Oryzias latipes: one gene and its partner. The protein of the gene in region 1 purifies or fractionates together with the protein of each later gene. This does not show direct contact. Links are inferred from orthologs where the notes say so. Each region holds a gene or a part of one and is shown in the gene's direction. Other genes may lie near its edges.

The links.
Region 2: the proteins of sik2 (region 1) and serine/threonine-protein phosphatase 2A 55 kDa regulatory subunit B alpha isoform purify together in Homo sapiens (affinity purification with mass spectrometry; 3 studies listed by BioGRID and IntAct, with this or other methods). This does not show direct contact. The link is inferred for Oryzias latipes from reciprocal best matches to the Homo sapiens genes SIK2 and PPP2R2A.

The regions. Positions count from the first base shown.
Region 1 is NC_019871.2:15,494,949-15,498,767, reverse strand, and holds part of sik2 (serine/threonine-protein kinase SIK2), read left to right. Parts: intron 1-72; coding exon 73-197; intron 198-692; coding exon 693-816; intron 817-3,819. UniProt on the Homo sapiens protein: Serine/threonine-protein kinase that plays a role in many biological processes such as fatty acid oxidation, autophagy, immune response or glucose metabolism.
Region 2 is NC_019870.2:24,073,812-24,078,119, reverse strand, and holds the start of serine/threonine-protein phosphatase 2A 55 kDa regulatory subunit B alpha isoform, read left to right. Parts: upstream 1-1,353; 5' UTR 1,354-1,658; coding exon 1,659-1,665; intron 1,666-3,850; coding exon 3,851-3,919; intron 3,920-4,308. UniProt on the Homo sapiens protein: Substrate-recognition subunit of protein phosphatase 2A (PP2A) that plays a key role in cell cycle by controlling mitosis entry and exit. Involved in chromosome clustering during late mitosis by mediating dephosphorylation of MKI67.

The DNA.
Region 1 (3,819 bases):
TGTCTGCTGGGAGTTTTGTGACACCTAAAACTGTCTTCAGCCTGCTTACTGTTGGTGCGTCGTCCCTTGTAGATTTTGGATTTGGAAACTTCTTTAAACAAGGAGAGCCTTTGGCTACATGGTGTGGCAGCCCGCCATACGCTGCTCCAGAGGTCTTTGAAGGACAACAGTATGAGGGCCCACAGCTGGACATCTGGGTAAGAGAATTTCTTTTAACCAAAACGACAGCTCCTTCACATTCTTGTGCTTAAATTCCCTTCTTTTAATGGGAGTGATCTACTGTTGGATCCATTTAAAAAAGCTATGTGAAGTCAATTAATGTAATTTAACATTTTATTGGCAAGATGAAGATGGAGCATCGGTCTTATGTGTGTCTTTACTGACGTGATCCTGAAAGAAAATAAAAACCTTGATGGTTTACAGGTTTTATGTTGAAAATAAAATAAAAAATGATTACCGGGTTATAATGATTAAGAGCTAAACAACCACGTGATACAAAGGTTAAGGCCAAAGACAAAAGCATCATGGGAAAAAAATCTCAATCTTTTTTAGAAGAGGCTCAGTAACATTAATATAATTAAGAGCAACCGGTGAATCTTTCATTCAGAAGGGTGTGCGTGGATGTGTGAAAAAATAATTGTCATCTCTGATTGGTCTATTGATTGCTGCTCCCTGTATGCATCTGTTTCCAGAGTATGGGGGTGGTGCTTTATGTGCTGGTGTGCGGGGCGTTGCCCTTTGACGGGCCCAGTCTGCCTGTCCTCCGACAGAGAGTCCTAGAAGGAAGGTTCCGCATCCCATACTTCATGACTGAAGGTGAGCGGACACAAGTTTAACTCGTCCAGAACTTTATTACAATCAAGGCAAAGTTTGTCTGGGTTTAGGCATCACATGTATTACCTGGAAGCCATACTCCTCTGCCTTCTTTTGTTTAAAGTGTAGCTAATCTGAGGGGAGGATTTGTGGTGAACTATGAGGAAAGTCCTGCAGAAGGGATGATGCTAAGAAATGGGTTATTGCGGAAAAGTCCAGTAATCGTTGGTTTGAGGTGAAAGATAGAGGTCAGGTTCCATGTCATTTGAAAAACAGTCTTTGATCAAATGGCAAGCATCGCCAGAAGTGCAGGTTTTTGCCAATTGAAATGTAACTTCTCAGTTTAACTACCTGACTTTCACATCACATTTTTACACATCACATTTTTTTTCCTTCTCTGAGGTTGTGTTGCAATGTCATTTCACAAAATGGGTGTTACTTAAATTCTACTTTTCAATATAGATTGATGTTGATGCATTAAAATGTCTAGTTTAGCTTTCAATTTTGATTTACTGTAGATTGGTAAAACTGACCTTTGTATTACTCATACAAATTACCTGCTGGCGTCTTAAGCTCTTTTCTAACTAACTAGTACAGGTAAGTCCAATATCAAATATTTTGTAAAACTTCCCTAAAAGTATCAATCTTTATAGTATGGCACCCTGGATTTACAGTCACATCTGTCAGTTTTTTTCTAAAAACACTGAAAGTTTTTGTGAATCATTGAGTTTTTTCATGTTAAATTATTTAAAAAAAAAAGGGCATGAGTCATCGTACATGTTTTTGACTTTGAGTCACTGTACTGTTGAATGTTTACTGGCACCGTCTATCATGGCTAAAGTAGTGAGCAGGTCGTTTGATCACACAGAACAGTATGCTTTAGGATGGTACAGCATTGGGCACTCTGTCAAAATAGCTGCGTTTACATGGACAAAAGTAATAGGAAAAAACGCCTGATCGTAACAAAAATTCGTCATGTAAACACGCCGCTCGGAATACTCTGCCCCGATCTGACTCATTCGGATCAAAATTTCTTTGCGATCGAGATAGGTGGGTTATGCTGATTGTTGATCCGATCGTTTTGCATGTAAACGGTTCATTCTGATCGTGCGTCGCTACTGCTCTGGTTTAACATCACGCATTGAAGAAGTTTCACTCCAGAGAAGGCTTTGGAGCACAAACAGGACCAACCGGCTGCTCTGCAGACGCCTTGTGTTAAGCACTCTTCACCCCTCACGAAGTGGGGTGCCGGGGAGGAGCGCTTCGTGCCCCCTGACGTCTGGACCCTGCGCGGTCCAGGCTCGGGTGCCGGTGGACCGAGCGAACCGTGTCTCTGCAGAACAGAACAGACGGACTTATAACTTTGTGTTTGAGGGGAGGGGAGGATGCTTTGTTACGTTTGTGCTATGTGTGGGAGGCTTCGGGCTGCGATCCGTCCCGCTGCTCTAGGTGAACGAGCTGCTGGACTCAGGAGAACAGTGTCTCCCGGTAGAAATGTGTCTCTGAGCAGAGCTCGGACTTCCAGCTCACACAGCGGCTTTGGGGCAGTGAGCTTTTCAAAGCAGAAATGTCGGTCAGTCCTTAGAAACCGTTCAAACAATCACGTGGATTTGTGTTTCCAGTCATGTCCTGACTAAATAAAGGCTGATGTTATTCCCACATATTTTCGTGCAGCCTAGATGCAGATTGTGGCATTTCCCGCATGGATTTTGTGTTCATCAAAGAAGGCTAATGTTGTTAGCGTGTTAGCTTTCTCTTAACCCTTCTTCCAGCTCCGTTCCACAATAAACAAAGCACTGACCAAACCGATTCAAAATAAAAGGATGAGCGGACATGCTCTTCATAATAACTATAACAATAATAAATGCACGTTTAGAAGATCATCTTGTATATTACTGAACTGCCAGATATCTATGTTTGTGGCAGCTCAGCTTGTTTACAGCGAGACTCATTTCCTCTTCCGGCGCACGTGCAAATTATTTATTCCAGACGAAAGTGTGGCCCATGTAGACGTTTTGTTTTAATCGGAAAAAGTTTTTCTGGGCCCATTTACACGGTTGAATTATAATCCGATCTTTGATCCGATCAAGATATTTTGCACATGTAACCGCGGCTACTGACTGCTAACATTTGCAGGGGTCATGTGTTACATGCAGGAGTGAGTCAGGTCATATGACTGTCTCAAAGCAGCCCCGCTGTTAGCAATTGTGCTAGCTTGCAGGCTGGAGATTAAATCCAGAGCACGAGCTGTTTATGTAATCTGGGGGACAAGGCAGCAAAGCCCTCCTGCAGGCTCTTCCAGGAGACCCTCTGTATGTCTCGTTGACTCCCACTGTCTATGAAATGTCTTCCTGTTTGTCTATTTGCTCCTCATGATCGAAGTCTCCGTAAGGGGGAGTGCTGGAATTCATGTCATTTCTTCTTCTTTTGTTCCGAGCCTTGAAACAATTAGGAGACGGGGAATGTGAGAGTGTAATGTCAGTTCTTGGCCTAGACTGACAATCCAACCCGCCTTTCCACCCTCACTCCTGCCCCTGTTCCCCCCCCCAAATGTGAAGAACAGAGTGTTCTCATTTCTTCTACTAGAAACAGACCTCATTTCCTCCCATTGCTCTCTCTGGTCAACTCTGTGGTGCAGGGAACAGACTAGCACCTCACTCTAAACTCTCACTAGAACATTTTAGTCCAGTGAATGCTGTGGTCAGGCACTGATCAATGACCTTTTCAGTTTTTTGCATACCTTTGCATGTCTCTTCTTTATTCAAAGCTTCATAGGGACTCAGGTTGTCTATGCATTCAGTCATGTTTTAATGGTTGCATTTGAAAACTTTATTTTTAAGCTTTGGTGTGATTTATATACACTGAGATGCATATATGCAATCATAAAAAGTACTTTTCTCTAGTATGTCTTTGGACAAAAAAAAACCTTTGACCCATTGCATCTCACTTGAGAAGATTGCACAAATGTTTTTATTTATTTATTTTTTATTGTTTTTATTAGTAAAA
Region 2 (4,308 bases), on another chromosome or scaffold:
TATGATGTTTATGAATAAAAAAAAAATTAAAAAGAAAAAAGGACCCACAGTAAGAAATCACGTATAAAAAAAGAAAAATACAAAGCATATTCCTATTAATTAGAAACTTAAAAACATGGGGAGGAAAAAGTAAGAGCATCAGCAGATTGTATTTTTCAAATGGGTTCCAAGTTTTTAAACCTATAAATTCCTTTTGAGTTTTTAATTGATTCATCCTACTTTGCAATTTCACAAAGAAAATGGGTAAAAAGGTTTGTGATGGGTATATTTATATTTGAAAAATAATTAATAATTGTGGGGGGTTTCTGGGGGTAACGACTTCACCTTAAAAACAAATTCGATTTTGCAGATTTTGTGAACCACCTTCACATTTTTAGTAGAACCATCTGGAGGGGCAACAAAGCCAACATTACCAACAACAAAAATCTGACTTTTGAGACCAGAAAAATGTAGCTGTGTGGTCAAGGCTAAACCTTTTTTAGGTTTTAAATTTTTCTATTATATATTTTATTTAAAGTATTTAATTTGCTCAGCTAGCATATTATATTTTATACCATCAGACCAGTTCTAATTTTTAAAAACTTACTTTTTTCTGCTAATTTATCTTAAACTTTTAAACTTAGCTGTTAAATATCTTGCAGGTTAATTAAATGCAATCAAAGACGTTTTTGCAGTAAACTTAGTTTTTCTAATGTTAAGCATGAACATGCTAAAGTATAACGGAGCAGTAAAAGTATCAAACAGGTCAGTGTGACCATTGGTTTAATCCAGATGTCTGCTGACTGAAGCTCCAAAACGAATTTGGCTCTCTGGTTACAGAAAAATAAAACGTTTTTAATTTAAATAAGTAACTGTAAAGTAAAAAGAAAAAAAGCAAACTGACTTAAATGACCTCATACACAAACAGTTGAAGAACAGTACGCATTAACAGGTTGAACGAAAACGTTATGCCAGATTTTTGTGCGCCATGTACCACAGAAAATCAACTGGAGGTCAGTGAGCAAAACCAAAATTAAGGTGCACCGGATTATGAGGCCTCAGGGTGTCTTTTATTTTGAAAGGATGTCATGTCAACCTCTGTCAAAAGTTATAAACTATTTCATATTTTGAAAAATATATATTTTCTCTGTATGTTAATCTTTTTGTATGCAAAAAAAAATTATGTTTATCATAACAATAACATAAATACATATCGGTGTCCTATTTTTTCTAAACGATGAAGTCATATTTTTTGGTTCTGTTTAAGTATTAAAGGTTGCAGAGCCCTGCTTTTAGGCCTTTCTAATCTTTGACAAAACATCCGTCATGCGCGTGCACATTATAAAGAGGGTTTGGTTCACGTGCGGAAGAGACTCGAGGGGAGTTTGAAGAATTGACTTCTGGGATGCGGAGCAGCCGGCGGCAAGAGAGCGCGAGACACCAGCACCACCGCGGGGGAGTGAATGTTTCCAGGAGCAGCAAAGAGACGAGCGGGAACTCCGAACCGCGCAGTTTGACTTAAACACACACATTGTTCTGCTTTGCTCGGTGAACAGAGGCTGAGTGGAGGAGGGGGGGGAGGGAGGAAAAAAAAGTTAAGATCCCACGAATCAGCGCGTGGGAGTGGGAAGCAGGATCGTGACCAACTGACTGAGGCAAGCTCCACTGTCTGTCTCGCCATGGCAGGTAATTCGTCTGGACTGTGTTAAACGTTCTGAAAAAAAATGTTTTTTTTCATTGTTAAAACGTCGTTTCTTGGTCGTCTCTGCGTTCCGGGAGTCAGGTTTTATTCACCCACCAGTTCATTTCTGTTTTAGCTAACGATAGCTAGTTAGCCGAACTTGGCTAGTGCTAACCTAAGCTATTCACAGAACTCGACTGTCCTCGCGCAACAACAGAAACATTTGCCGGTTAAAGCTAGCTTACCAGTTACCGTTACAGCTGTTTTGCTGTTATCTACACAAATAGGTTGCATTACTAACCTGATAATGATATGCATGGCAGTTTAGCCAAATCTGTTAATAATTTTGTGGCACCGGCATGAAATAGTGTTAAGTTTTTGTAGCTAATGGCCGAGTATTTCGCTCGTACACGGAGGTTTTCTTTTGGTATACTTCTGTGCAAACCTCTTAATGGAATAACAACACACAAGGCTGCGAGTTATTAACCCAAACGTTAGGGCAAGCTCAAAGTAGCGCCACAGTTCTCAAACATGCATCGGCTAGCTTGGCAAGCCGTCATTGCTAGCTTTAGCGCAAACTTTGACATTGCTCACATGCAGGCTAGCAGGCGGGCCCACTGAGCTCTGAGGGAAATGTTCACGCAGTTTCTGCTTCAAAGGCTACAAGAGGCGCGGGATAACGACCATTTCATCTGTAGAGAATGCTCAGACTTTCTCTGCGATGTTTTTCATTCATTTGTTAGCTTTACTTTAGTAGCGAAGTATTGTGATTCCAGTGGGTGGGGGGGCCTCACCCCCCACCCCTATAGCAGACTTTGATTTTAAATTTGGTTTTAAAGGCATAGCAGAAACGTCAATCATGGAAAGTGTGGAATGCTTGCACGTCGTCCATTTTTTGAGTGACTCACATTTTTAGACAAATGCATTGCACAAGACTCCCCAATAAAACATTTGAGATATTTTGTTCCTCCAGTGAGTGTTTTGACTCTTTCTGGTGTGTATGCACAGAAATGATTGTACCTGCTTCCTTTGGGCTTGTTTATCCTACAAAATGTACTCTGTTAAAGTATGTGCTGCTACGTCAACCTGCTTTAAGGTGACTGTTGGAAACATTCGGTTTCAGTTTTGTAAGTGGCCACAATGATTGCAGTGCCAGAATTGTTCATGTATGTTGAGTTCCTCTTAAACCAGGCCTCAGCATGACCGCTGTTAACCAGCTACAAGACCTAAGATGAAGAGAACAGTCTAGCAGTTACTGACTGCACCCACTTTTATTGTAATTAAAAGATCATGTAGTTTTATAGCTGTGAGTTGACTCACTGGAACAGAACTGGTTTTGCAGGTGTAGACTGTCTCGAGTAATAGTGGTGTATCTTAATGTTTTAAGATATAGCTTATGTTATTTGCACATATTTATGTGGGACCAAACACAAAAAACTGATGGAAATTCATGTTGGCTGCATGTTTAGCGGACAGATGCACATTCCTGCATTACCGGCACAAATTTTAAGTACGGCCAAGTCTAAATGTTGTGGTTGGTCGCGTGTATTAACCTAATCCTAACCCTTCATCCGGGTCCGTGCAACCAAAGAAAAAGTCAGCTCTGGCTGCGTGTATTTTGAAAATTCTGTGTGAATGATCACTTTCTTAAAAAAGATGCTGCACAGTTTTCTACCTAAGTGGTGGTGCATGTGTGCACGTATGATCATTAAAATATTGCGGTAATGGTCAGTGGAATCATTGTTAGACCCTGGATCTCAGACAGGTCCCAACACTGATCTTTTCTGAAGTAATTCATGAATATTATTGAGCACAAGTTCTAACTGCTGCCACCAGGGAAGAGATGCAGGTCCTTCAGAGCCAGGACCAACAGACTTGAAAAAGTTTTTACCCATGCTCCATCAGGCTCCTTAATGATACTGTCAACACCCAGTCACCCTTTATGTATGGATTTGTACTTTTTTGGTTTTTAATATGATTTTCTTGCACTTTGGCATGTTGGCCACTTTCAATTCTGTCTTGCTCCTTGGCAGATGACAACGAAGTGTGTCATTCTTAAAAAGCATTTTTCACTAGGTTTAGAGCAATATTAAGTCAATAAAATCTTCTTCAGTTAAGTCATTCTGGTGTTTGAAGCAGACGGCAAGAAGAGTCACTGAAGATAATCCACTCATTTTTCTCTTCTCACAGCACCTGGAGGTGACATGCAGTGGTGCTTCTCTCAGGTGAAAGGAGCCATCGATGATGATGTCGCTGAAGGTACGAAGAACCATTTGAAATACAGTTTTGTTTAGAAAAATTAAAAATACAGGTATAACAATTTATTTTCAACAATTATTTGATTCATATCATTTGTAGTTGCGATACGAGTCATAGTGTATATTTGTTCAATTTAAATGATCCGATTTGATCAAGAATTAATGGCAAATTCATTCACATTGTCATAAAGTTGTTTTCAACATCAAAATAATAAAAAAGGAACACGATTAGAACATTCTACCACACTGAGTGGTCACATGTCTTTGCAGAACTCTGTTTCCACACGTTGGACTAGAATGATGGACTGATCATTTTTTGCTGCATCACATGTGTACTGTCTGCTGTAATGCACAAACTTATCATGGCTCAATCCAAATGGTCTTTTCCAA